Saccharomyces cerevisiae S288C: one gene and its partners. The gene in region 4 interacts genetically with the main gene of each other region. Each region holds a gene or a part of one and is shown on either strand. Other genes may lie near its edges. The genes, in order: HOS2, SWC5, SIF2 and CTI6.

Region 1 (8,366 bases), on a different chromosome or scaffold from region 4:
AGACCTGATATTCATAAACTCGTAATCCCTTGGCCATTCGGAGTCTGGCACATGTTTCAAATGTTCACGATGCTCAGCATGCTCCTTTTCAACAAAGTATGTGTTCACAGCTGTTAAAGCAATTGCTGGTAGGGCGACCCAAACTGAGATTTTAACCCACATATTAGATGTGTCCTTCGCATGCTTTTCAGTGGCCATTAATGATTCTTTAAATTTTTGAGCTGCCACTTTATCTGGTGGGCCAAATGCAGGTTTCAAAGCATTTGGGGGTAATGAAGATGCATATCTCTTAGCACACTGTCTAAACATTTTTCTATTGTTTGTTATTTGTATAACTGTAGAACTGTAGTAATATGATTTTAAATCTAGATAAAACACATGCGATGTGTAGTGAAAACGTTCAAGGCAACGTGTATGTTTGTTATATTTAATGTATCCCGTCACTCATCGTGATCACATCCCAGCTGGGGGTTATTTTTCGATTCTCTTAGACCGATACTCCCAGTACCGCCTCTCATTGGTGGGAAAAAAAATTACCCGAAATTACTATATTGTGTCAATACCGCACCATATCACTACATTCATAGCGGTATAATCGAAAGGATAGCGGCGTTGGGTTACTACTATCGTCTACCTATTCAGCAGGATAGCTTACTCTGTATTAGCAAATAATAGTCGTTCTTCGCTATTCCCACAGTTTCCAGTAAGAACGATTGGAGTAGAAAAAAAGAATGGTAGAATGCGCCATGGGAAAGAACCGACCAAGAGTGGGAGCAAATAAGTCAAGTAATTACATTAGTAGTGTTTAATGGTTGAAAATATGGCCAGAACTAGTATTAGCTTTCTCCAGGCGACAACAATTTTTAAACATCCGGGTAATAAATTGTTCCAGTTGATGTAAAAAAATACACGGACTCGGATAATAATTATTGGACATAAACCATATCCTTCTCTATTCCAAAGTTTGTCTAATACAGACCAGGAAACCATTTACTTCCCGCTGCAGTCTTTTTTATGACCATCTTTTTTATGCAATGCTATTAATGTTTAAAAGGATTATTTAACGCTTTACTGAGCAAAATATAGGTTATTTAGTGTTTGGAATTGTTGTTTTTGTTGCTGTTTGGATTCAAAGGGAGTATGTTTTTGATTCATAGGATTCTGCTTGGCCTCAGCATAATACTTACCACTCCCCATATCCATATTATTCCAATACTGCTGCTGATGCTGCTGCTGTAATTTTGAAGGTTGCTTTTTGTCGATTTTTTTAGTACCAGTGTGGCTGGTTCCAGTTTTGCTCTTCATAAACTCCTGGTACTTCCTCTCGACATCCATTTCGTAAATGCAATTTCCTGTCAACTGGTTTCCGATGGTAAACCAGCCAGGCCGCGTATTGTGATCCCTTCCGAATATCTCTAGTTTTCTGGCATGGGTGCCTGCCAACCGTTCTGCTATACCATACAGTTCATCAGGCTTTCTACTAGTCTCTCTGGTCATTGATACGATCAAATCGACGTCAATATGTTTGTTGATCCACTTTGGATTACCCTTTAAGCCCACCAATAAATGCTCCTTAGAATGATTTAACCAATGACCCGTACGACCTGTAACAATTGTTCTACCCAGTTGGTTTGTCTTTATCCATGAAACTTCATTTATCACGTTGTAACCCCAGTTATTCAAAGACTCTTTACCCAATTCTATAGCTCTACCCGTCACCCAAAGAAAAATAATACCTTCATCTTGTAGTTCGTGCAAAGGCAAACCTAATAGTTCAATATCGTTGCAAGTACCGTATGGTAGGTTCATATGGATATTCCATGCAGGATCTGCAATAACTACCGAAAACTTTCCAAGAACCCTAAAATCAAATTTCCGCACATCGCAACGGATCCACTGTGCAGGTAAAGCCTTTTTGATACAATGTGCGGAGCAATTGCCCAGAGTATAAAATGGAATGGAAACGTTTGACCGTATTCTTTTATTTTCACTCGCAGTTTCACGATCAGCTCGCTCTTGCAAGCATGACGGAATATATTGCAGGTAATGAATGTATCGACACGTATTTAATTTATGACAGGTATCCAAATAGGAACAATCTCCTAACGAAATATCAGTTTGTGGTTTGATATTAGGGATAAAGTGAATTTTTGATTGAATGCACTCAATTAATCCTGGGTGATTTTCCTGACATGCGGATATTTTGGACCATTGTAAAGAAACGATTTTGTTATTGACAATGTACACCGAGGTGGACAATAGAGATGCATGCGAATAGTCACTACATATCGGGATGTATTCAATGACCTCGGTCGTGTATTTGGCTCTTTCTTTAGCAAGCTGAAAAGATGATGGTTTTTCCCTCAATAAATTTTGTAAGCGATTGCTCAGTTGTTCACGTGGTAACCCCTGGTTGCTGACGTTAACGTCCCAGTTCAGGACTCCAAGCAGTCTACCCAGCAGTTGGTCTTTTTCCGAATCAGCTTCCGGTTTTGTTGTTAAACTCGACACTTTTTCTTCACATGAAGAACTGGACGATTTTAATGTATAGTAGAAGGCATGGAACTTGTTATAGAGAATTTTCAAGGAAAAAACGTCCAGGTAAACAATTTTTTCTGGCCTATCTGCCACTAATAGATTCTGGTCAAATTGAATGGACTGCGGCGTTGCAAATATAATATCCTGAAGATCATTCCAAAACTGTTCAAACTGTAAGACCTCGTCTTTATCGTTTCTCAACTTCTGCATCTCATCATCGTATCCGCCACTGATGTACAGTGAATACACATCTTTGAGCTGTCCAGAAAGCGGTGCTCTTAGGATGTCATCATAATTCTGGATCAGAAAATGTACTAGTTTATCGTTAATCATAGCCTGCTTACAACTTTTATGAATTCAAGTCTGAATGCCAATTCTTATTTTTTTCGAAAACCCCCAATGCTAACTTATATGGTCCGTTTTCTTTACTGTTATCCATCTCCCTTTCCTATAGCTCCAGCGGTTACCGATCTTCCAGAATGCCGGGGAGATCTTTCTCTTTCTTTGTTTATAACAAGTTTCACAAGCACGAAAGAAAGAACAATACTGTACGCCAAAAGCCGCCTAAAGACGCATATTCCCGTCAATTTATGTGACCGGTACCACTATATACCTAAGGCACCTCTATACCAATGTAGAATGCCCTGTTTATACTCTATATAGAGGATTCTCGATGTTCTTTGGGGCATCGTTAAACGTGATATTCCTACTATGTTACTAAATGTTGAACTGAAAGCATCTTGAAACGATTCTAATCAGTTTTAGGTGTGTCGCCAATGTACAGTTATAGAAAAGACGCCAGATTACTCAAGTACGTTAAAATCAGGTATCAAGTGAATAACAACACGCAACATGTCTGGAACATTTAGTTATGATGTGAAAACAAAGGAGAACGAACCATTATTTGAGTTTAATTCTGCTTATTCTCCCAGGGTATCGTATCATTTTAACTCCAAAGTTTCACATTACCATTATGGTGTTAAGCATCCAATGAAGCCGTTTCGGTTAATGCTAACGGATCACCTAGTTTCCTCTTATGGATTGCACAAGATTATGGACCTTTATGAAACAAGAAGCGCTACCAGAGACGAATTACTACAATTTCACTCGGAAGACTACGTGAATTTTCTCTCGAAGGTTTCACCAGAAAATGCAAACAAACTGCCCAGAGGCACACTTGAAAATTTTAACATTGGAGACGACTGTCCTATTTTTCAAAATTTATATGATTATACAACACTATACACTGGTGCGAGCCTTGACGCCACCAGGAAACTAATCAACAATCAATCGGACATAGCGATAAATTGGTCTGGTGGTCTTCATCATGCAAAAAAGAATAGTCCATCTGGGTTTTGCTATGTAAATGATATTGTGCTTTCTATTTTGAACTTATTACGATATCACCCAAGAATCCTTTATATCGATATCGACTTACATCACGGCGATGGTGTCCAGGAGGCATTTTACACCACAGATAGGGTCTTCACGTTGTCTTTTCATAAATATAATGGCGAATTTTTCCCAGGAACTGGTGATCTGACAGAAATTGGTTGCGACAAAGGAAAACATTTCGCATTAAATGTACCCCTAGAAGATGGCATAGATGACGACTCATATATAAACCTTTTCAAGTCAATTGTAGATCCTCTAATAATGACTTTCAAACCAACACTTATTGTCCAACAATGCGGTGCGGATTCCTTAGGTCATGATCGCTTAGGATGCTTCAATTTAAATATAAAGGCACATGGAGAATGCGTAAAATTTGTCAAATCATTTGGTCTACCAATGCTAGTAGTGGGCGGTGGAGGTTATACACCTAGAAATGTATCACGGCTTTGGACCTACGAGACAGGAATTTTAAATGATGTCTTGCTACCAGAAGACATCCCCGAAGATATCCCATTCCGGGACTCATTCGGGCCGGATTATTCACTTTATCCTATGTTAGATGACTTATACGAAAACAAAAACAGTAAAAAACTACTGGAAGACATTAGAATACGATGTCTAGAAAATATCAGATACTTGCAAGGAGCACCAAGTGTCAGAATGGATGCTGAATGCATACCGACACAAGATATAAGTGCCCTGACAGAAGAAGAGGATAAAATCATTCAAGAAATGAATGAAGAAACAGAAGCAGACAGTTCAAATAGGCTAGAAGAAATGGAAAAAGAAAACAGTGGATTGATTGCCTTTTCATAGTTTAAGAGTTTGCTATTCGGTTAATCTCCCGTTTTTTTTTTTTTTTTTTTTTTTATTTTCCTTTTTTTTTTTTTAATGTTTTTAGCATATTATGTAGAGTGTTAAGGCCTTAAAAGTTATTTGCATCATTGTTAAAAATGACATGTATTGTATAAGAGTTCGGCTCTTCGATGCCGTCAGAAACATTTTTGGAAGGTGCACTCCGTATTCGAGACACTTCTGAAACGGACAAGTCACCAAACTACTCTGAAAACAACAAAAAAAAGCCTTTTCTTATAATTTGAAAGCTTCTCCCGCAGCATTATCGATATCGTGAAACTTCCAAAATCTTTCTTAATTAAACCGGACATCAGTGTCTACAACATTAGAGCAAGTCACTCAGTTCATGTAATACATCTGGACAATTATGTCTAATAAAGAGATAACTTGTATCAAACCGTTTAAAATTATTGCTCTAATTTTATTGATAGTTCTAATAATAAACCTCTCTTATAAGTTATTTCTGAGACGCTATTTAAAGTCGACAGTTATTTGGTGTTTAGGAATCGCCAATACAGATCGTAACGATATGATGTGGTGGCAAGTCTCGCCACTATTAGAGCGCTGGGTTTGGCAGTTAGTTGACAATTATGAATCCGGGTACGAATAATTATCAAGCCCTTATTAGCTACAATGCTGGGAGCAATAGATATATAAATAACCCTTATGCACAGCGGAAGACTTCAAAATATCTTTGTCTTTTATATCATTATGTGGTATGTATTATATAACGAGAATAATATATCAAATACAAAAAGTAACGAGGTTACCACATTGAATTTTCTTCAAATATCAGTGGTTAATTCAACACCTCCGACAGCCCATATTTCTCTTTCATCTTCAAATCTGTCACTAAACATTGTTTCCGCGTCTCCTCCGGCAGCAATCCTTTCTCTTTCGACATTTGCTAACCTTTTACCAACCCTCTTGGTATAGTCCCCAACAGACCGTAATTGAATTGTAGTACCTGTGACAGTTTCGATGCTGTTACCGCGATCTGAAATTTTAGCAAACCACTCGTTGAAAGTATGCATGTCATCTTCTTCAACCAATTTGAACAAAGCTAAATATGCTTTTTCTGCTGCGAGCTTAATTGGGATAACAGGATCACGCAAGCAAGAAAATACAGATGGTCCTACTACATCGAAGTATTGCTTAATGCACTCGTCAAATTTGAATCTGGCTAGTGTTCTTATAACCACCAAGGCCAACCTTCTTACATCCGTAGAATTACTGGCTGGTTGTAAGACAGCTTTGCTCAACTCATTAATTAACAGATTGATGTTTTCATCGCCAATTTTGAATGGTTCTGCAGCATCCTTTTTAACAAATGGAGACCTCTTTTCTCCTTCTAATAAAAGTAATTTACCAGCAGCAATGGTACCATTTTCTCCGAAGTAAACATCAGGGGAACGGATTGCATTCAAAATGTAACTTACAAATTCGTCTATCAAGCCCGTATTGAATATATGTGTTGGTGCATCTTTCAAAAAGGAATTCAAAGTCAGAATAGCAAACTTACCGGTTTCTCCATCTAGATCTGCATTCAAAACCTTGTCTTGCAATATCTTGTGGGCTTCGTCGTTCGACAAAATCTCTGATAACGATCCGATTAATTTAGCGTAAGCAACTGCCAATTTGTCATTGCTACCCAACATTTCTTCCTCAACTAAATTGACAATGTTTGTCTTAGAATTTTCGTTTAATTTGGAACCAGCCTTCATAATAACTTCCAGTAAAGCTTTAAGCATCGCAGTCTTGACACCTTCATCTGTGGCTTGCTTGGCACCTGTCACCAGTTCAATGACTAGAGGGTCAACACGAGGCTGATGTTCAATCAGGGCACCAAGAGCCTTTGCGGCGCGGAGACGTAACGTTTCATTGGTAGCGTCAGACAAGGATTTAACAAATGTTCTTTGTAATTGAGGGATAAAAGGCCTCAAGAACATTGGAATCTTAATGAATAGCACATTAAGTGCAAATAAAATTGCTGCTTTGATATCACTACTAAATCTTTCACCCACGACACGAATTAATGGACCAGTAATTACGCTCACAAATGGCTTCAAGTTAGCGGCAGGGGTCTTCGAAACAACGTCAGCAATGGCTAATGCAGATTCTTCCCTTTCATCATTCGAACCATACATCAAACCATGCAAGAAAATAGGCAAAACACAGTTAGGGCCTCTTGGAAGCTTAAATGCAGCGACATCTTGACCTTGCCTGCCTGTTAATGCCAATGACTGTTTAGCAGGCTTAACTAATTTTTCTAAGGTGGGCTTATCAACCTTCTTCAACAAAGTAGACAAAGCATTGAAGTTACCATTAACAACCCTTTGATCTTCATCATCTAATGATAAAATTGCGTGAGAGACAAAGTTCGGAATATAGACATCAAAATCAAGAACAGTCTTATCGAAGAAATTTGGCAAACGTTCTAAAACAGCTATGCGTTTCTCTATATTATCACTCTTTAGTAGTGACATAATCTGTTGAAGTAATGGGTGAAGACCTTCGTCATCATTCACAGATAAGAATACCCTGTCTAATGCAAGTTCTAATGCACCCTTGGTCGATTCATCTTCAGAAGTACCTATGATTGCATCCACTAGTGCGTTGATTATAATTGATAAACGCTTGTATAAGGCTGAGCCAGCAACTTCCGCCAAAGAACCTAAAGCAGAAGCCCTGAAGGCGTCTATTGGAGGGGCTAATAGGGTTGGAATTAAAATTGGGAAGATTACGTCGGACTTCTTCGACATAATTTCTTGTAAACCTAACAAAGCAAAGTCAGAATTATCAGAAGATTCAAGCATATGCAACAAATATGGTAAAACTTCATCAACAGCAGTTTTTCCTACAACATCTTGGAATACATCAAAAGATAATGCAGCCGCTTCTCTGACAGTAGCCGACTCATCAATTAATGCCGTACGAATAATGTTAACGATGGTAGATTGGAACTGTGATATCGTTTCCGTAGAAGCCGATTCAATTAACTCATAAAGAGCAATACAAACACCTTGTCTCGAATCTGAGTTTGATGTTTCTATCAAAGATTCCTCCAAACTTGGTAACAGTTGGGACAAAGCATTACCACCTACACGACGGACAAGATCACCTAAGGTCTGAGCAGCAATGTTGCGTAATACATTGGATGATGAAGCCAAGTGAGTGACTATCATACCAGTCAATGTTGGAAGGATCTCTTTCACAGCTCTTGGAGTATTTGGAACCAATGCCTTCCAAATGTCAACCGTCGTAGCACGTACGATACCAGAAGTGTCGTTCCTGCATACAAATAATGCGGCTAAAATTCTATCACGACGGTCTTGGCCAAGTACATCGACCAATTTACCAGAGAATTCACCATTATGATCACCATCTTCCTCAGAAAATTCGTTCCTGGAGGAAATACCAGTAACTTGGAACAATAGTTCTCCGGTTAATTGAACAGAAGATAAGCGAATTCTGTCATTTTCATCGAACATACCCCTTTCTAATTCAGGCAACAACAAATCAACGGCCTTTGTAGCGTAGTTTTTGACAATTAATTTACCAGCCTTCAAAGCAGTATC
Region 2 (8,203 bases), on a different chromosome or scaffold from region 4:
CATTGGCCGCTGGCCCGGGGTAGTAGGGCAGGGAAAGGGGACGGTGAAAAAATAAAACGTAAGTGGGACAGCAGAGATTTGAGGAGTTGAGGCAAGAACAGAGGAGAGAACGAGAAAGCGGATAAGCAACAAAGGAAAAGGAAACAAGTAAAAAAAAAAAAAGAGACTAGCATGAGAAACGAATTATACCAGTTATGGTGTGTGGCGAGTGCAGCAAGAGGGGTAGCCAAGAGCTCATTCGTAAGGGCCAATTCGGCCATGTGTGAGTACGTGCGCACGTCCAACGTCTTGAGTCGCTGGACTCGGGACAGGCAATGGGAAGCAGCTAAGGCCCTATCACAACGGGTCAAGAAAGAGTATGCCGCCAATTAGTGCACACACATACATATATTTTATATACTTACATATTTGGTTGCGTGGTATATAGAATCTCTCCTTTCGCTTCATGAATGAACTCATTCATGCGAAGTCAAAGGAAAAAAAAAATAAAAAAATAAAAGAGCGAACGGGAAGACGAGAGAAACATCAAGCGACCAAAGTAAAAGTCAAGAACGACTCCACAAGTGCGAGGGTCGCGACGTCTCTAACTTTAAAAACAGGCGTCAACCATCAAGTCCGTTTCTTGATGCCGCCGGCATTCTTCAAATCCCTCCAAAAAAAACGCCTCTATGACATAGGCGGTTAATAAAACTGGCCTTGAAACAACAGATGCAGTCATGGCTCTTCTCTTTTCCCAGCAAACGCCTTCCATTGCCTCCTTTTTTTCTCTTCCAGAACTCTCTCAGCAGTATTCTCACAAACACATCTCCTCCCCTTTAGCAAACCTCCATTTATATCCTGCGAGAAGAGCTCCTTCTCCTCAATGAGAAAATAAGCACAAAATAAACTGGGAAAAAAAATATAGTAAAAGACGCCAGCACGTTAACAATGGAACACTCTTATTGTAGACCAACCCCACCCTACACCCCCTCAAACCGAGGACACTTCAAAAGGAAAATCAACAACTTTGGCCGATACTTGGGGGATAAGCAAGCTTATCCTATTACATCAAAAAAAGAATCGTAAGACACCTTTCCTTGCAAACCAAAAATCATAACAAAGTCGAAAAACTTCCTCTTGCAGCGCCACCAGAAAAAGAAGACGAGCGAAGAAATCAACAATAAGAGCGCCCCATCCGCACTAGCACCCCATACCATAAATATTATCTCCCAACCTACTATAGCACCATTTCTTCCCATCGATAAAGAAAAACCAAATCCCGCGTTGGACATAAACGGCTCGGAAAGACAGGGAAGAGTATGAAGCAAAAAGCCAAACTAAGGGAGAAACAGAAAGCTAAAAAAAAGAAAATAGAAAACAACCAGAAGAAAACAAAAACAATAACCTTGAGCAACCGTCGTCTCAAAAACCAATTTCGAAAAACCATCATAAAAACGCCTTATGAAGAAACCATGAGCGAAGAAAAATAGCAGCAAAAAGTAGTGAGACCTGACATTAGCGGAAAACAACTTGCTTAAAAAGTCTCTTCCCGTCCATTTTATTATTTTGGGTGCCAAAAAATGTGTATTGTAACAAATTAAAAGGTAATGAGCCTCATTGAGGTCATTTCAGTTGTTACACTGAAAAGAACAGATACTACACTTGATCTAAGCCAAAAGGCAAAGAGATTCGTGGGGATTTAAAAAAAAAACAAGTAGAAACAAAATGAATAAATCTGATAACAAGTAAAGTACTCATCGATGAAAAAATGAATGTAGAGCCCTTTTTATATGTTTTCACCGAGTGGCCCATCGGAAACGGCAAAAAAAAAAAAAGAAAGAAAAAAGAAAAGAAACATAGAGCGTTGCTAGGTTTTTTTTGCCACCCACACCCATACACCCCATTACTTTGTCTGCAGCATCGTTATACACGTAGTGAAAGTGTGCAGGCCTCGGCGGTTAAAAAAATTTGAGCAGAAAAGCATGTTATTTAATACATGTAATATTTGTCTATGAAGCTTCGCTATCCTGCTGCAACTGCTGAGCAAGTTGTTGCCGGCGCAATTCTTTGTATCTCTCGTCCTCTGCAGACCCGACCCGCTGCAGAAATTCTTGCCGGGCCAAGAACCCATCCTTGTTGTGCAGCACCAATTCGTCGTTAAGTCCAGCACGGTCTACATAACTAGCCCAGTCCAGCTGAGATTTTTCTAATGTCGTTAGCTTGGGTCGTAGCCCGCCAGAAATGATCTGCTCCAACAATGGAGGCCTTTTCAGTGGCCGTCGCAAGTGTTGCCGGCTTTCATTGGACTTGGTCCTAACTGCTTTTTCCAGTTGAACAGGAGCAGCAGGCGCCTGCTGCTTAAATTTCAAACTGTTTAGATATTCTTGACCCTCCGCACTGCTGCGTGAAACCCATTTTTTCTCATGGACAGTTTCACCAGCAAACTTGTAGTTTCTTTCGATGAGGATTTTGTCCTCCTGTTGCGCGGCCGTTGTCGACCTAGCCTCCTTGGAACCGTCGAGAACAGAGCCGACTTTCCCTGAACTGCTCAAAAGACGGTTCTTACTAGCTTCCTGTAGCTCCTCCCAGATGCTGTTTACTTTTGCAGGGATCGATTCAACAGTTAACGATTCATACTTATGTGTTTTCGCATATTCTTCCTCAGCTTGCCGAGCTCTTCTAGTCTTGATCAGTCCGCCGCTCTCGCTCTCTATACGCGAATAGTCCACTTTATTTCTACCCTTATCTCTGTTCACACCGTCATCATAGTCGTCACCGCCATCGCTGGCATCACTATCGTCGCTACCACCACCTAATTTATCTTTTTCAGGCTGGAAGTCCTCGTCCTCCTCTTCTATGTAGCCGTCCTCGTCCTCGTCCTCCTTTTCGTTTGGTATAATCTTTGTCTCTACTTCTGGCATTTATAGGCTAGTGGGTTTTCTTTCTTGAAACAATATTATTCCAGTTTACGCCTTTTCGTCTTTTTTCTTACTTGTCGATTAATCCTATTCATCATCTTTAAACTTCGCTCTTTAATTCACTTTTTTTTGTCTTTCCCCGATATGGTACTTACACGAAATATCATGATACAAAAGAAAACACGTACATACTCGTCAAACGATAAATACGCACCTAGTCGTTAGCCGCATAAGTAACCTTTTTCATATTCAAACTTATCCATAGCCACATCCACTCTAACAATTTTAATCGTCCAGCGCGGCATTAAATAATCTTTCTGTAATACTCTTTAGCTCAATTATGTCCACAGAGACTACAAAACCATCAATCACTACTACACCAACTACTGTACTCGTTTCTCCCAACACGCTCAAAAGGAAAAAGGGTGAAGACACCAGCGAGGAACAACTGGAAGCAGAAATCAAACGCGTGGCCCTGAAGGATGCAGACAGCCACTCTGACAACGACCACGATTCCCCCGACAATGTTCCCTCTGATGTACATTTACGAATGCTGTGCTTAGTCAAACACGCTTCACTGATAGTAGGACACAAGGGCGCCACTATATCTAGAATAAAATCCGAAACCTCTGCTAGAATAAACATATCAAATAATATCAGAGGTGTTCCTGAAAGAATTGTTTACGTGAGGGGTACTTGCGATGATGTAGCCAAGGCATACGGCATGATAGTAAGAGCGCTGCTTGAAGAACATGGTAACGAAGATAACGGGGAAGACATTGAGATTTCTATCAACCTATTGATCCCTCATCATCTTATGGGATGTATAATTGGCAAACGTGGGTCTCGGTTAAGAGAAATTGAGGATTTGAGTGCAGCAAAATTATTCGCGTCCCCGAATCAATTGCTGCTTTCTAACGATAGAATTTTAACCATTAACGGGGTTCCGGATGCTATCCATATTGCTACTTTCTACATTAGTCAAACATTGCTAAACTTTCAGATGGAATCTCCGCAGAAAAATGTGAAAAGGTCCATATACTATCAGCCAACTCAGTTTAACTCAGTATTAATAGACCATAGCCAACCGAACACCATTTTCCATCAAAGAAACCACCAATATCATCCAAGCGATAAACTACTTTCATACAAACCCAACAAAAATTTACCAATATCATCTACTTTGTTGAGTATGGCCACACCGCAGTATACTACTGCTAGCGTTGCAAACGCAACGGCCTTTCAACCGAACTTCGTTATCCCTAATGTGACAGTCTTAGACGGCCCTGTTATCAGTCCGGCACCCGGCAACCATTTATTAATGAACTTTGTACAACAAGAGATATTCATAGATGAGAAATTTGTCGGAAATGTCATTGGCAAAGATGGCAAGCACATAAATTCGGTCAAGGAATCCACAGGTTGTTCAATTATTATACAAGATCCTGTAGAAGGCTCTTCGGAGAGAAGACTTACCATAAGAGGTACGTTCATGGCGTCCCAAGCTGCTATTATGTTGATTAGCAATAAAATTGAAATTGATAGATCAAATGCTGAACGTAAAAGAAGGTCGCCCCTCTAAATATACTGCTAGTCAATAAAAACACATAGAAAATAAAAATACAGAAACTACAAAAGGCAAAAAAAATAAAAGAAAAGGTAATAAATTGAATGAATGTAGATATATAAATATCAATAGAAATACGTACGCGGAATTATTTCTCTTTGTAACAAATTGATCAAAAGCTTTGTATTTTTTTTTTTTTTAGCTCGGCTGCGCGCTATTACAGTAATTACATGTAAATAAACTATTCCAAAGAATACAAAAGAAGAGCTTACAGTAGCCAGTCAAAGTCGCTGTGAAACATACACGGCGTTGTAGTCACAGTATGGAACACAATCTTTCACCTTTACAGCAAGAAGTATTGGACAAATACAAACAGCTTTCTTTAGATCTAAAAGCTCTGGATGAAACTATAAAAGAACTAAACTATTCGCAACACAGGCAACAGCATTCACAGCAAGAAACTGTATCGCCAGATGAGATACTACAGGAGATGAGGGACATAGAGGTCAAAATTGGTTTAGTTGGGACACTGCTAAAAGGTAGCGTGTACTCGCTTATCTTGCAAAGAAAGCAAGAACAGGAGTCTTTGGGTAGCAATTCTAAATAATGGTTTGGTGCAAGAAATTGATTCTGATGCTTTATTTTTTACGGTACACTACATTGTGCTGTGAGTTGTAATAATATAGTCTGTATATGCCAAGTGAAGAAAAAAACAATACAAACTCAAGGTGTATTATGAGGTAGGGAATACACATAACAATATATATATATACGTATGTATATTTAAATTGTATAAATGACGATCTTACCGTCTAACCCACAGGAAGAGACTTGTGTGATTTGGCCGTTGGATTCCGCAAAAGGTCTTAATTCCACAATGGCGTTTTCATGTGCACTTTCTTGGACATCTGTGCTAACTTTACCTTTCAAGTCTAATTCTTTAAACTTTCTCAATGCGGAAATACCGAAAGTTGAACTTTCATCATTATTACCACTCAGCTCGTCTGTATTACCAGATGCAGTTAAGGCAGAAGACTTGTTATTGTCTGATTTGTCTAGATTCTTCGCAAATTTCCAGCCTTCAGAGGCTTCGCTGAACAATACCGGATGACAAGAGTATCCTCCACAAACAATCTCGTGGTCGTTTATCCATACTAAGGACCTGTAAGGTAAACCTTCCGGAGCATTGACAGATTGCACTGGAGATTGGTAATCGACAACATTCAAAGTACCATCATGCGCTACATAAGCAATTCTTTCCATCTGACTTCTCCATTCCACATCATGGATATAAGAACCCTGATACCACTCCCTGATTAAACAACCAAAAGGGAATTTCTGGCCCCAGGGTGATCCGGCGACGGATTCCTTGGAATCCAAACCCTTGATAAACCCGCTGAACACACGCATAAACCCATCAGTACCACCAGCAGCTAATAGGACTCCATTTGCATGCCAAGACAGGCAATTGATGGTAGATTTGATGGGTTTCTTGATGTGCTTGGATACCCACCAATTATTCTCGTGTTCGTAATAACAAACAGCGATGATTCTAGCACTGGACCCAACAGCAAACTTATAACCATTTGGTGCCCATGTAACTGAAGTAGCTGCTCTGTTAATACGAAGAAGTACTAACGTGGGCTTGTATGTCCCATCACTCAATGGCTCCCAAACGTAAGCATTACGGTCTTGGGAGCAAGTCACAATACGACCATGTATGGAAATGTCCACAGCAGTAATGGTTTTATCATGATCTTTCAACGTTGCGAATAAAACGGGAGGTGTGTTGTTTGAAACTCTATAGACAAGACAATCTGTTTCGCATGTAACGGCTAAAATAGATTTATCTTGAGAAAAGCAATGAGAGTAGATTGGCGCTTTGACCAGCTTGTAGACGGCAACAACGGACTTGTCTTTAGAATTGGAAAATGACATTAGGAGACTCTCAACTAATATACGTTTACTTCGGCTTATTTTTCCTATTTTTCTTTGTTTCTAATCTGGAAGCTTTCTCGATCAAGATTGCTCTTATTTGACCCTTTTTCATTATAGGCAAGGCGCGGGCGGGTGACAAGAAGATTTTGATAATTGTGCAACTGATAACGTAGGATTCATTATCAACATTGTTGTTAAAGAGTAACAAGGAAATCTAAGAAATGGTTGTGCTTGTTGTCGAAGAAGTGATAGAGACAGTGTTTTTGCCAGCCAATTCTCTTTAAGAATAGGCCTTTCTTGTAGGATTAATGGTTAGTAGGTTTTATCAGATTCCAGGTACGCATCGGCCATCGTCGGCAATATCTTCTTCAAATGAATCTTCTTCACTGTTGTCTGCAAGGAGAATAAGTCAAACATATTTCAATTATCAGGCGACCCCTGAATGCCAAAAAGTTTCCTCTAAGTATGATCCTGATAACCCAAACAAAGATAAGTTGGGAACATACGATGGGGTATTTGTGCCTACTGCTTTAAACGTATTGTCTATCCTTATGTTTCTTCGTTTTGGCTTCATTTTGGGTCAGTTAGGTATTATATGCACCATCGGTCTTCTGCTATTGAGTTACACTATTAATCTTCTCACCACGTTAAGTATATCTGCTATATCTACAAACGGGACTGTTAGGGGCGGGGGTGCTTATTATATGATTTCAAGAAGTTTAGGACCTGAATTTGGTGGATCCATTGGGCTTGTCTTTTTCTTAGGGCAGGTGTTCAATGCAGGTATGAACGCAGTGGGTATTATCGAACCTTTACTCTATAACTTGGGTTATTCTGCTCAAGGCGAGCCACCTGCAGCTTTGGGAGAGCTACTACCAAGAGGGCATTGGCACGAATTTACATATGCCACGGTCATTCTTTTCTTATGTTTTTCTGTGGCTTTTGTTGGCTCGCAAACAGTGTCAAGAGCAGGGAATATTCTTTTTTTGGTACTGGCAGCTTCTATATTTTCCATTCCACTTTCTGCATTGATAAGATCGCCATTCACTGAAGGCGGTATCAGTTATACAGGTCCTTCATGGCAAACTTTTCATGATAACCTGCTCCCTCACTTAACAAAAGGTGCAGCAGGTTCGTTACTCAAAGGTAAGGAAACATTCAATGATTTATTTGGCGTTTTTTTTCCTGCTACAGCTGGTATATTCGCGGGCGCAGGAATGTCAAGTGAATTGAGAAAGCCCTCTAAATCAATTCCTAAGGGTACCTTATGGGGTTTACTTTTCACTTTTATCTGTTATGCCGTTGTTGTCTTCTCCATGGGTTGTTCCATTCCCAGAAGATCGTTATATGATGAAGTACAAATTATACAGACGATCAGTTCCGTTCAGTGGGTTATATTCATGGGTGAAATGGCTACTTCTCTTTTCTCCATCATAGTGGGGATGCTCGGTGCTGCTTATGTATTAGAAGCAATTGCAAAGGATAACATTATTCCTGGTTTGGAGATTTTTGCTCATTCACCGTTATATTCATTGATTTTTACTTGGATTCTAACACAGCTATGTTTGTTTTCAGACGTCAATAAAATCGCCACATTTATCACAATGACATTCTTAATGACGTTTGTGGTCATGAATTTGGCGTGCTTCCTATTAGGTATTTCCTCTGCTCCCAATTTCAGGCCCTCTTTCAAATACTTTAACAGGTATACTACAGCAATTGGCGCATTACTTTCTGTTGTTGCGATGTTAATAGTTGATGGCATCTCAGCGTCTGTCTTGTTTTTGGCTATGATTTTGCT
Region 3 (4,726 bases), on a different chromosome or scaffold from region 4:
GCTACGTAAGAAATGGAATTCTTGTATTTAGGTTTTCGTAAATCATCGTTTTGTATAATGGATTTCACAACGTCCAATGGGTATACTGTCAACCACAACATTGTCCCGGAAAATGCACCAAATAAGCATAATTTCCAAGGAGGAATTTCGTTTCTTGTTAGTCCCGTACCAATTTCTCTGGCAACCAATGCTTCGTAGACAAGAAAATATGTACCAAGCCCATGTCCGGCTCTTATCATTGTGGGAAATAAACCCCTCATCAATCCACCTTGAGCTTTCAATTTTTTAATACAGTCCCAAGGACCTTTGAATTCTCTGTCTCCACCATTAGATGTTTGCGTCTGCAAACGAATTCTTATTTGTTCAATGGGCGATGCCAAGAATGAATTGACTACACCACCTGTCAACCCACAAACGTAGTACTGGGATAGTGGCAGAGTATTTGAACGTGAAAGATCTACGTCCTGTGAGCTCATATTCGGGTTCTTAGAAGCGTTGTAATTTTGGAAAAATCTTTTCATCGCCTCATTCACACCAAATTGTACTGAGACACATATACCAACACCCAATAACGGTGTTAACGCACCTTTGTAGAATGCAAACACACCCTCATTCTTTACCAAGTTACGCAATACCTCCAACGTTGTTGTTCTTGTGGTGGCTGTTTGAAGCCTAACTTTTGTTGTATCAAACGGTTGCCCTACAAGAACTTGTGCAATACCACCGATGGTACCCGCAAAAATATCCTTCAACACACGATTAGAACTTAACTCTCTCTTCTCATTCGGCGTGGTAACTTTCTGTTGATCTTCCAATTCATCCAAAAGCTGCGGCGTAGGAAATTCTTCACTCATGACTAACTGTAATTGTAATACACGAAATTATTGCGCCGCTTTTTTCTGTTCTTTATGGCTACCCCTATTTATCAATTACAGTTGTATCATCCAAGAGGTGAAAACTAATTAAAGAAACTTATTTTAACACAAGGTATAAAAAATTATAAAAAAGCAATGCTCATTGTCTTCTCTCATCGCGAGCGGCCGTTATCTTCAAAGTGATGACTCTTCGAGATTCCTGCACAACGTCACTCAAAGGCGGCCCGCGACGTTTTCCATTGCGAAATTTTTCACTTTTCACCTTTTGTAAACAAAGAAATAACAATAAGAATGATAAAATTCATCTGTTTATGTACTGTACCTAGTTATTATATGGCTACAACTGAACCTTCTTGAAGCGAGTATGCTACAGAAATCTTGTTTCCCGCACAGTTCCATGACAGATCAAATATATAATCATTGTCTTGGCTGCTTTGGTAGCTAGCGTAGAGGGGAATTGGTAATGGATTCAAAATCCCATCACGGTTACCATAAAGACTTCGTGACTTGCTGTTCAGTTTTTTTAAATCGTAGACGTTTACCTGCCCATCCATGAAAGCAACTGCGTACTTCTGTCCATCTTGTGATATTCTTCCAGCAAAAATTGGGACACCATCCACGATTGATAGAGCCAATAGCGTATTCTGCTTCAGCGACCATAGGCGAACGGAGCCATCCATCGAGCAGGATATTACCTTATCATCACCGACCCATGATGCCGATACTATGCTTTGTGAGTGTCCGTAGAAGCAATTCTGAGAATTGCCGTTACCGCCATGCCATATTCTTAGAGTACCATCGTCTGAGGCACTAAGTAGAAGTTTATTGGTGTCATTGAACTCCAAAACGCTGATAGGTCCATGGTGTCCAATAAGTTTACCAGTGGGCGTTTTTTCTGTAATTTGGTATACAAATATAGCACCTTTAGGGCCAGGAATGACAAATTTGTCATCGTCTACCCATTCAACGTCAACCCCAAGTGAACCATCGCCACTATGGTTCTCTGCGTTGATGGATGAGCCACCGGTTTCTTTTAATTCAAAGTGCTGCATGACGGTCCCGCTTATAACATTCCAGAGTATAGTGACATTTTCCACGTCCATGGATATGATATGTGTTCCATCTTTGTTCCATTTAACGGATACTATAGGTGCTCTATGAAAATTTAAAACATTCAGAAGTGCCCCCGTCTTATTCCATAGTCTTAGCTCACCATTTTCTACACCCGTGACAATTGAATTACCATCGTGTGACCAAGCAAGACATGTGACTTGATTCGTCGTTTTACCACTACTTGCACTCAGAGCAAAAGGATGTCTCAACTCCGCTATTATCGTGAGTTTCCAGTATTTTTTCCCTTCTTGATCGGTTTCTACTATCCTCGCTAGTCTTGCAACAGAATTTTTTTCACCGTATGCGAGTATAGATTCATCCAATGGATTCCAAGTGGAGGAAACAATATTATCTAATTTTACTATCTCCTTCAGTATTTTGACAAATCCGTCTAGGTCATCACTACTGTCAATAGAATTAGTATCGTCCTCTTGGGTTTCTCTTTCAACAGTACTAGCGCCATCTTCACCTGCTTTATTACTCTCGGAATTGGTTTCCAAAGTGAACCTTCCTTCAGAAGAGATCTCAGGAAATTTTTCTTTATCTATTTGCAGCGCCTGAACCAAATTGAAATCTTCAGAAAGATGATGTTCATTTAAAGCGCTGATATCACCTTTACTATCAACCATTAACTCACTTTCTGTATACAAGATTCCCCTTTGTACTAGATTCACCAGTGTACCCAAAGGAATGTGTTCTTTATACTTCTCATCAAATTCCAATACTCTTGTTTCATCCTGCAATGCTAATGCACTCACCTCGTGTCCCATCTCTTGACAATACCTCCATATCAAGTAGTTTAGTTCTTCACTTGTTATACTCATTTTCCGTGTGATGGGCCTTCCCTACCTTTTTTTTGTTTCTGTTATTTTTATCTGAGTTAGCAGTTGTTAGTGTGGGCTGTACACTTCTTTGGAAAAAAAAACCTTCAATTTCGCACCAAGGTGTTTAAATTGTTCTCACTAATTGCAAATCAAAACGAATGGTCTTGCATATCTCATAACCTTTTCAACATGAATACATTCCTAATCATTTTTGTTTATTTCTCGTTTGCTAAGTTCCGCTCCATGAAAATAGATGACTGGAAAAAGAGACTAGAGACTGCAGTTAATAGTATATTTGTAAGACCTTGAGCAAAGCCGAATGAACAAAAAGCCTTCATATTAGACCAGGTAAGAGACTGAAAGTTGAAATATTTGTACTGTGAAAATGGTTGAGTTTTCTTTGAAGAAGGCCAGAAACAATTGGAAGCATGTAAAGAAGTCTGCAAGCTCTCCTGCTAAGCAAAAGACACCTCCATCGCCTGCTAAGCCTAAACAAAAAACAAAAAAGAACCCTTATAGTGATCTCAAGGATCCGGCTACCAGTTATACGCTACCAACAATCAATGCAAGGGAGAGAAGTAGGGTAGCAACTTCAATGCAGAGAAGACTATCAATTCATAATACAAATTATGCTCCACCTACACTAGATTACTCAATGCCCCTACCTGATATGCCAAACATGATAGTTCCCAATGATAATGTGGATAGTAGTCATAATAATAGTAGTTTCACCACTGAGAACGAATCGGTAAGCTCTAAAGGCCCTTCCAACAGTTTAAATCTTTCAACTGCCGATCTCTCCCTGAACGACAGCTCCTATAATAAGGTGCCTGCTAGATCAGCAATGCGAAATACTGTCAATCCTTCCGGCAGTAATGATCCTTTCAATAATAGCACGTCGCTAAGAAAGATGTTGGCAAACCCGCATTTTAATGCTAAAGATTTTGTTCATGATAAACTAGGCAATGCGAGTGCCATTACTATTGATAAATTTACCTCAAATTTAACAGATTTATCGATACAGGTCCAAGAAGAAGTAAAGTTAAATATCAATAAATCATATAACGAAATCATGACGGTAAACAACGACCTAAATGTTGCTATGTTGGAGCTTAAAAGGGTTAGAGCAAATATAAATGATTTAAACGAGGTTTTGGATCAGTGCACCAAAATAGCTGAAAAAAGGTTACAATTGCAGGATCAAATAGATCAAGAGAGACAAGGCAATTTTAACAATGTTGAAAGTCATTCTAATAGTCCAGCGTTACTTCCGCCTTTGAAAGCAGGACAAAATGGGAATCTCATGAGGAGGGACAGATCGAGCGTCTTGATATTAGAGAAATTTTGGGATACGGAACTGGATCAGCTGTTTAAGAACGTTGAAGGTGCTCAGAAGTTTATCAATTCTACGAAAGGAAGACATATTTTAATGAATAGTGCCAATTGGATGGAATTAAATACTACCACTGGTAAACCCTTGCAGATGGTACAGATTTTCATTTTGAATGATTTGGTACTTATCGCCGATAAATCAAGAGATAAGCAAAATGACTTTATAGTAAGCCAGTGCTATCCTTTAAAGGATGTCACTGTCACGCAAGAGGAATTTTCCACTAAGAGGCTACTTTTCAAGTTTAGCAATTCGAATTCAAGTTTGTATGAATGTAGAGACGCAGACGAATGCTCTAGGTTGTTGGACGTTATAAGAAAGGCTAAGGATGATTTGTGCGACATATTCCATGTAGAAGAGGAGAACTCTAAACGTATTAGAGAGTCCTTTAGATATTTGCAATCTACGCAACAAACCCCAGGTAGAGAAAACAACAGAAGCCCTAACAAAAACAAAAGACGTAGTATGGGGGGTTCAATCACTCCTGGCCGAAATGTAACAGGCGCAATGGATCAATATCTTTT
Region 4 (8,884 bases):
TGTTCGATAATTTATCATTTATTACGTTAACCGGGTTATACAAATACGCCTCGTTAGCTCGTATAGAAGTACATGTCCTTTTATAGTGCATAAACATAGTATGTTCCTTAAGTGTCCAAACATATTCGCTCTCTACGAACTTCGCGTTTTACCTCGAAAGCATTAGCTACTCTTTTAAACTGTGTGCTTCGTGTTGGTTGTTTTCACCTTTGTTGTGGCTGTGTATGCATGTAGCCCACATTTTCCATCCTGCGATTCACTGCCCTCGTAGTCGGCTGCAGAGAGTTAATGACGCGTTGGTGGTGCAAAGTCGTGCTGGAACCCATCGGGCCCCTCAGCAAGTTACGTGCATTCTGTGAAGCAGTGTGGCCAACGCTGTGGTTTGTACTCGTTGTCCTATTCTTGTTGATTGGATTAACATCCTTGTTAAATAAGTAACTTTCGCTTTTCCATATACCGGACAACACTGCCTGAATCTTTGCACTTGCAAGATGTGGATAAAGATCATCAAATTTTTTGTCATAGTTAGTAAAGAGCAAATCGTCCTCATCCTTATGATCTGTATCACTGCTAGAATGTGCGATTGACTGAGCATCGTTATGGCTTTTTTTCCTGATATTATTTGCATTTCCCGTTATTATAGGTTGTACTCTCAACAATGCTTCATCTAATGGGTTGTAAAATCTTTTTACATTAGAGTATTCATGGGATATTCTCTCAAACTCCCTTTTCGCATCAATGTTTCCTGCCATAAAGATAGAGTCACTACCGTCATTTTGTGAACTTAAGTCCATAATAGAATTCTCCCTCTGCAACCATAATTTTCTTTGTGTTCTTGATTCTGCATCAATCCCATCTGATTTAAGGAACTGGGCGAAGCTATTAAATTTGGCACCTGAGTTGGATTGTCTGTTTGCATCGCTACCGGAGTTCGTACTAGATGTAATATGTTCGTTGGACAATGGAGAGGCCGGGGCTGCAGAATTTTTGTTGAGATCGTTGGATCTCAGAAGTAGATTCTGATTACCTTTCTTGTGAAAAATATTATTCATTCTTGAACCATGGAAGCTTTCAGGAGCAGCTCTCCTCAAATTATTGGTTAAACTCGATATGGAGGTCGAAAAGTTGTGCTGTGGTACATTATTATCTTTACTACCGATGTTAGCAATGGTGGGGAAAGTAGACTGAGAGTTCGGTATATTTTGGCCAAGTTGAGATCTTCCACCATTTTTCTTGCTCTTGCGCAATTTGCCATCATCCAGTTCATTAAAAGTATCACCTGAAGCCATATGCTCACCCGAGTCATGAATTTCATTCCCAAGCGAATTTTGGATGGATGATGAATTTTCAAATCTACGTTCAACTCCAGTCGACTGGGAGAGAATCATATTAGGCGCATAATTTTCCAGTAAGCTATGCCCTTCAATATCCTTGGTACCAGCGGAAGAAATATCATCAGGCTTGATTAGATCTTCTTCTTCGTTTAATAATTTGTGTTGTTTAGAACTTTGTCTCCTAAGAGACATAAAGCTCGAGTCGCTTTTTCTTGATGAATTACTCCTAGGGGCATCAATGTGATCTTCCTGATCAAACTGTTCATCTGAATGACTTGGTTTTTGATTACTTTTATGTGCAGCTAAGGTATTACCAACATCAAGAATTTTTTTTTCTTTATCATATGGTGCTTCTGATATATTATCGCCCGCTTTAACCAATGAGGCCCTCAAATTTTGAGAATGGCTGGACAAGTCATCAATATCAGCTTCCTTCGTCACCTTTGATTGCCCCTCTTCATTGATTACACTTGTTGCATTCAGTTTTGTTTCAATTGAGCTTGGAGATGTTTCTCCATCTTTCTGATGTTCTATAGAATGGCTTGATTCTCCGAAATAGTTATTGGAAGATAAATGAGGTAATGGTAAGGATACAGCTCTATGATTTTCCTTTCCATCAGTACCTGATTTATCTTCTTCTTGTTCATCTATTGAATCCGGGGATTGTAATTCATTCTGATTTAATTGCTGCACATTCTTTTTTTCTTCAGGCATAACATGCTCGGCTATTACTTTATCATTATTCACCTTTCCATCTTCAATGTTGTCTTCCGAAAAACATTCCACCTCCTCGTCAGTAGTAGATTCACTCTTTTTAGATTCTTGCGCATCTCGAAGACTCAGAACAGATTGGGTACTTTTACTTCTTCGTGGTTTCAGGCCGAAACCAGCAGTTCCAGTATTAGAATGACTGCTGTTCTTTGGACTGAGCAGCGTATTATGCACCGGACTATGAAAGGATGCTGATCTTTTTCCTTGATTGGACTTTACTCTTGTTAAAGCTGTCATATTCAACCCACTAATCGTTCGCTTTCTGAAAAGTGCATCAGAACTCTTGCATTTCTGAGAAACGTTGTGCTTATTAAAATAATCATTATCCAGGGTGCCATCATGTGTTAAAACTCTACGCAAACCTTTGAAGCTTGCGTTACTCTTTGCTCTCGACCTAGTCGAAAACTGTCTAAATGGCTTTGACTGGTGTGATACTGTTGACGCATTAAGAGATGTTACATCAGTGTCTGACTTCAAAGTCCTTCCTCGATGAACCATAATTATAGTTACTCAGTAAGGATATATGATATATCCCAATATCTATGTTTACCTGACCCGTAAATCGATAGAATGTGCTAGTCCATTAGATGTTTGGATTCCTTAATCATCGTGCCAGCCAAATCGCTATACCATCCGCAACTAGCTATCCTTGCGGTTACCCGTACAAGAGTAAGCTCGGTTGATAAAAACAACGTTGAATTAGTCGTTTTTATATCCATATAGATGTATATATATGTATAGATGTGTTTGTTCGCCTCATTACAGTTATACTTTGGTTGAGAATAATATTGCAGTGTTTTGCGTTTATTGAATGGCATTAGTGTTATTTGAATATTTTTTCTCCCATAGTAGTAACTCTCTAGTCAGGTCGTCCATCATTGATAGACTTTCATTATAACCGTTGTAAATCGTATCAACTTTTTCTACGAAATGCTGGTTTTCCACGAATCGTACAAATTCCTCTCGATCAGACTGATCTTCACTCAATTCCCATTGAGTTCTAGAAATGAACTCCAAAATAGCGGATACCCTTCTTCTCATTTCGTTTAATGAGGTCCTTTGAGGGGGTAATCTGGGCTTTACTGGTTTGTCGGTACCTATATCAGCACTCCTTCTATTTTGGTTGGTGTCTGAACTTGTATTGCTTCGACGAGTTCTGTTGCCCTTTCTTGCTGGTTTGGAAACTCTTTTAGAACCCCTCGAACTAGCTTTCCTTGAATCATCCTCAGAAGAAGATATTGAGGTTAGGGGTAGGATGGGTTCATCAGTTTTCTCAGTGTCTTGCGCCGAACCCGTAGAAGATTCCTTTTCTTGACTAGCTTCTTTTTCCACATCATTTGTTTTTTCCATTGATTGCTCTTTCGATGGTCGTAGGCTTTCTTTCATATCATCATTTGTTACCGAGTCCGGTTTGCCTTCCGTTAGCATAACATCCGTTTGTAATCGAGTGGTGCCGTTGTGATTGTCGGTATCACCTTGGTATATATCAGCATCATTTTCATAACTTTCAGGATCTTCTTGATGTGATGTCCTCCTGCTTTCTTTCAAGGCTTTTTCAAGCATTCTTTGATATTGCTTTTCTTCTCTTGCCATGAAAGTTGCCCTTTTTCTATCCAGTAGCTTCTTATCACTATCTCCAGGATCCAGTGAATACTGATCGGTAGAAGCATCATCCATTGAATTCCTCCTCCTCCTTCTACTTGACCTCGTGTTGCCGTCCTTGGCTAATGCTACAGCCGAAGCTTCATCTTCTACTTCATCTTCTTCGTCGCCGATATCGTCGACGTTATCATCGGTATTGCTGGTATTTCTGGGACTTTTCTCTGCTTCATTGGCGGCATGAGATTTACTTGCAGCTGCACTTCGTGCCTTCCTTCTTGATTGCCTCCTTTTCTCTTGCACAGGTTTATAGATTGACCTTGCTTCGCCAGTATCTGTGGTAAAGAGCTGATGTAACTCCGGTCTGCATTGCTCGCACCAATATTTATCAGGTGCGTTGTCTTGAGTAATACTCACACAATAACCGTGCTGCCAGGAACTGCACTGCTCACATTGAATGAAAAATCCGGAGTCATCTGGAGTATCGAGCTCTCCACAGATACAGCGAGTTTCGCCTTCCTCTTCCTCGACTTCCCCCTCTCCACCTTCCATAGGAACATCTTCTTGTTTTACACTTTCTTCCTGTACACTTCCAATCGCCGCCGTTGTTGTCGCTGTTGATGTTGTTGATATAATGTCTGTGGACCCACTAGCAATGACTTCCGCTTTCTCCATATCTTCACTACCCACAACAGGGCCTTTAGGCACTATTGCTGTCGATTCCATTACTCTTCTCTATACTCCTATATGTTTATGCTATCTTTTAGTAAGGTTACGCAAAGTAAACTTCGAAGGAAACAAACTATTGATGGTCTCTGTTGTGAACTTTGTACCCCTGTAAATACCCAGTTACATAAAATTCATATACGAAAACCAACAAGAACAAAAAAGAAAAAACTAATCAACAAAACGTTATTTTTTGATCATGCAGTGAAAAGCCACCAATAGAAAATTGAAAATAGAAAATGCAGCTGATTGTGCTGTGCGGTTTACCTAGTTTACCCATAGCGGAGAAATTTTTCAAAACTAATTGATTACGTTAAAGCCTGTCTGCGACGTGCTCCGTCCTATTTCCGCAAGATGATGAGGGTAATGCCCTTTATAACTGCTCAAAATAAAAAATAACCGCCGAGGTCTTTTTAATTATCAAGGTTATAAGAAGTGCCAGAAGTGGGTGAACTTAACTCAATAAAAAAATATTAGTGACGAACATCTATCAAAAATTGAAAATTGAAGGTACTGCTCAGAGAAACTGAGTCTGGTCTTGCCTACATCTTTAAGAGGAATTTGTTCTGGTGTATTATTTATACAGCCGATAACATTGATGATACTCTCAGGGTCATTTTCACGTAGTCGTGCTTTGGTGAGTTGTATACTACCCTACGTACTTTTCACCGCTTATGTTTTACACTGGGGTCTGAATGATAGATTTAAGCCTAGCATACACATCGGCGTCTCACAAAAAACGACGCTGCTGAAAAAAAAAATGTAAGAAAAAAAAAGTGGAAAAATATGAGCATGAAAAAACTTCTGCTAGCGGACCTCATCGTTATTTAGCTTCTCATTCCCGCCAATTGAAGTTGCTCATTGAAGAAGAATAAGTGATTAAAATGAAGGACTTGTCTCATTATGGTCCTGCGCTATGTGTTAAATTTTACAATGATTATGTTCTAGCTGGTTATGGGCCTTTCATCCATGTCTATGACTATCATTCGGCTACGTTGATTAACAAATGTAGGCTATTTCACTACAATAAAGTTCATGGACTTAGCCTTTCTAGTGAAGGGAAAATTTTGGCCTATGGTGCAAGATCAGTAACAATAGTGGAACTTGAAGACGTTTTAAAGAAAGAGTCATTGGTGGATTTCGAAAGGATTAACTCAGATTGGATTACCGGTGCTACATTCAGCTTTGACAACTTGCAAATATATTTGTTAACATGTTATAATAAAGTGCTAATTTGTGATTTAAATTGTGAAGTTCTTTTTAGGAAGTCTCTTGGGGGAGAAAGATCTATTCTATATTCCGGTATAATTAAAGTTTTCGGTCCGGATAAAGTATATGTTAACGCTGGTACTGTAATGGGCGGTGTTATCATTTGGGACCTGTTCTCGGAGACAAAAATTCATAACTTACTGGGTCATGAAGGTTCTATCTTTTATGTTAATTTAAGCAACAACGGAAGATATGTTGCCAGTTGCTCTGACGACAGATCAATTAGACTGTGGGATTTAGAAACTGGCAAGCAGCTGTCTGTTGGCTGGAGCCATACGGCAAGAATATGGAATTTAATGTTTTTTGATAATGATTCAAAACTAATAAGTGTTTCTGAAGATTGCACATGCCGTGTATGGAACATTATCGAATCACGAGAAAACGTTGCCGAATTATCCATATCTAACGTTTACGAAGTACATTTAATCAAGAGTATATGGGGCGTTGATGTGAAAGACGACGAAATGATAGCTGTAACCTCCGGGAATGATGGTAGGTTAAAGCTGATTGATCTTCTTCAACTGAAGAGACACGGCGATGAAGAAACATCGTTCAGTCTAGATGATATCGCAAAGCAATGTGGCGATATTTTCGAAAAGAATGAAAGTATCAAGGGATTTCAATGGTTTTCATTCGGTGTAATTGCTATCACTTCATTGGGTAAAATACTTAAATACAGTGATGTCACGAAACAATGGAAGTTGTTACTAACAAATGAAAAATTCAACTCGTATCCAATTACAAATGGGATTCAAACGCAAAATATCGCTGTCTTTTCCAATAATAAAAGTGACATCCTTCTTATCAAATTTAGCAAAGATAGCGCTGACATAATTGAGACCGAAGAATTCCATTTAGATGAGCTTTCTAAGACAAATAACTGTCTCGTTACAGAATACGATGATGACTCCTTCCTATTGACTTTACAATCCCCAAATCCTCGAGAGAAGTTTGTATGTTTGGAAATAAGCCTTCAGAACTTAAAAATTAAAAGCAAGCACTGTTTCAATAAGCCGGAAAATTTTTCTTCCTCATGTTTGACCTCCTTCCGAAATCATATTTTAGTCGGCTCACGTTTTAGTACATTAGTAATCTACAACTTACTTGATGAGAGCGAGGAGCCCTTCATAATTAGGAGATTAAGTCCCGGAGACACTACAACCTCAATCGAATTTGTAGAAGATAAAGACAACTCTGCGGTCTTCTCAGTAACAAATAGGGATGGCTATTATGTATTTATTGAGTTGACGAAAAACAGTTTGGAAGAGGGTCCCTACCGACTAAGTTATAAGGTCTTGCATTCTAATAAGATGATGAAAGGTTTCTTGGAGGGCGCTTTCTTTAATTCAAAAGGTGAATACATTACTTATGGGTTCAAGTCCAGCTTGTTTTATCTCTACAATGAAACCAACTGTTATGAACTAGCTAGTGAAGTTTGTGGTGGTTCCCATCGTCTGTGGAATCTCGCAAAAATTACTGATGGCCACGTATTAATGTATATTAAGGCATCCCGATTTCATTTAAGGAAAATTTACAACTCCATTGTGCCTGAAACTTTAGAAAATGGTGTACACGGAAGGGAAATCAGAGATATTTCAATCTGTCCTGTTTCAAATACCAACACGAATGACAATTTTAAGGATGGGCATATATTCTGTACTGCATCTGAAGATACTACAATTAAGCTGGGATATTTTAACAATAGAACAGGGAAGGTGCAGAATTTTTGGACACAAAGAAAGCATGTGTCTGGATTACAACGTTGTCAGTTTATAAATCACAAACTAATGATATCATCTTCAGCTAGAGAGGAGTTATTCTTATGGGAATTGAACGATAAGTATAATAAACGACCATATATGACCATACGACAAGCTTTACCTGTATCCACAAATAATTCTGATCTAAGGATCATGGATTTTGATGTCAAATTTATATCACAGTCAGGTGACTTCTTATTAGTTACTGTTTATTCAGATTCAACAATAAAGATTTGGCACTATAGGGAAAATCAGAATAAGTTTGACCTGATCATGCAAGGTCGTTATAAGACGTGCTGTTTATTCAACGTCGTATTTATTGCACTGAAAGAAGAGCTCCTTGTTGTCATTTCACCAACTGATGGACATTTAGTGGTTTATAATATAACCGAGTACGTACCATTTTCCGTTGATCCGATTTCTGGCGATTTGGTTGACCACAAACTGGACGCTACTATCTCAAATCTTCCCGCACCTGTAGCGCAGTTGCCGGTACATCAATCTGGTGTCAAGTCCCTAGACTATGTTGCTAATGCTACAAGAACTTCCGCCACAATTTTGACAGGGGGTGATGATAATGGTTTAGGGTTAAGCAACCTGAAATTAGATGACTCGAATAAAGTAACGTTAAAAACAAGTGACTTTATCGCTGCAGCAGCTTCTTCGACAATAACGTCCGGTATGTTGATTAATGGTGGCAAAGAAGTCATTACCACATCGGTTGATCAAGTAATACGCGCTTGGGAAATTACCGCAGGCAAGCTTTCACTGGTAGATAAAAAGCGTACCACTGTGGCGGATACAGGATCATTAGAAATCATTTCCAATGATGAAGATGCTGATTCTGAGAAAACGTTACTGATCGGAGGTGTTGGTTTATCAATTTGGAAAAAATGATACAAAAAATTAACATATACATAAAAGAATATTATAGATATGTATTATTTACAGATTTTAGAAAATGAGAATATTTTGTAAACACCCGAACGGAGAACAGCGAAGAGATTTACATCTTTCAGCCTTGACGCTGTTTGTGTTTTTTATTCGACTTGCAATAAATGTATACTCTTCCCTTTCTTCTTACCAAGTAGCAATCACTGCAGAACTTTTTGACAGATGTTCTGACCTTGAAACCTCTGTTAAAAACCAAAGGTCTGTTAGCTGCAACAAGAGCTGGTTGCGGAGCTGCAACAGATAGGAGGCTGGGCACTGTGCAGGCCCTTGTTATCGTTATGGGGGACGGTTTCATGTGCAAAAACATCCTTGGCATAGTTAGGCGGAGAGTCTGTAAAAACATTCTTTGAAATCCTTTCGCTTGCTGAAAAATTCTGAGATTTGTACTATGAACCGTAGCCGTTATATGCGAGTAGATCGAGGCTATATCCCAATGCCAATAGTTCCACGATTCATTCCCTTTCTATTTGG

Evidence for each region.
Region 1: mutations in CTI6 (region 4) and HOS2 together harm fitness more than expected from each alone (negative genetic interaction), as found in Saccharomyces cerevisiae (4 studies listed by BioGRID, with this or other methods).
Region 2: mutations in CTI6 (region 4) and SWC5 together harm fitness more than expected from each alone (negative genetic interaction), as found in Saccharomyces cerevisiae (5 studies listed by BioGRID, with this or other methods).
Region 3: mutations in CTI6 (region 4) and SIF2 together harm fitness more than expected from each alone (negative genetic interaction), as found in Saccharomyces cerevisiae (4 studies listed by BioGRID, with this or other methods).

What each region holds. Positions count from the first base shown.
Region 1 is NC_001139.9:136,751-145,116, reverse strand, and holds HOS2 (histone deacetylase HOS2), read left to right. Parts: upstream 1-3,390; coding exon 3,391-4,749; downstream 4,750-8,366. Other genes in the region: COX13 (cytochrome c oxidase subunit VIa), read right to left, coding at 1-309; IME4 (mRNA (N6-adenosine)-methyltransferase), read right to left, coding at 1,069-2,871; YGL193C (uncharacterized protein), read left to right, coding at 2,890-3,201; YGL194C-A (uncharacterized protein), read left to right, coding at 5,156-5,398; GCN1 (Gcn1p), read right to left, coding at 5,574-8,366.
Region 2 is NC_001134.8:680,191-688,393, forward strand, and holds SWC5 (Swc5p), read right to left. Parts: upstream 2,901-8,203; coding exon 1,989-2,900; downstream 1-1,988. Other genes in the region: COQ21 (Coq21p), read left to right, coding at 172-372; telomere maintenance protein PBP2, read left to right, coding at 3,238-4,479; DAD3 (Dad3p), read left to right, coding at 4,787-5,071; ARC40 (Arc40p), read right to left, coding at 5,248-6,402; VHC1 (Vhc1p), read left to right, coding at 6,711-8,203. UniProt on the Saccharomyces cerevisiae protein: Component of the SWR1 complex which mediates the ATP-dependent exchange of histone H2A for the H2A variant HZT1 leading to transcriptional regulation of selected genes by chromatin remodeling. Involved in chromosome stability.
Region 3 is NC_001134.8:445,795-450,520, reverse strand, and holds SIF2 (Sif2p), read right to left. Parts: upstream 2,813-4,726; coding exon 1,205-2,812; downstream 1-1,204. Other genes in the region: YMC2 (organic acid transporter), read right to left, coding at 1-854; exocyst subunit EXO84, read left to right, coding at 3,198-4,726. UniProt on the Saccharomyces cerevisiae protein: Antagonizes telomeric silencing in yeast. May recruit SIR4 to non-telomeric sites or repression.
Region 4 is NC_001148.4:198,967-207,850, reverse strand, and holds CTI6 (Cti6p), read right to left. Parts: upstream 4,431-8,884; coding exon 2,910-4,430; downstream 1-2,909. Other genes in the region: TCO89 (Tco89p), read right to left, coding at 204-2,603; tRNA (34-2'-O)-methyltransferase regulator RTT10, read left to right, coding at 5,315-8,356; mitochondrial 54S ribosomal protein bL36m RTC6, read right to left, coding at 8,475-8,756. UniProt on the Saccharomyces cerevisiae protein: Component of the RPD3C(L) histone deacetylase complex (HDAC). Responsible for the deacetylation of lysine residues on the N-terminal part of the core histones (H2A, H2B, H3 and H4).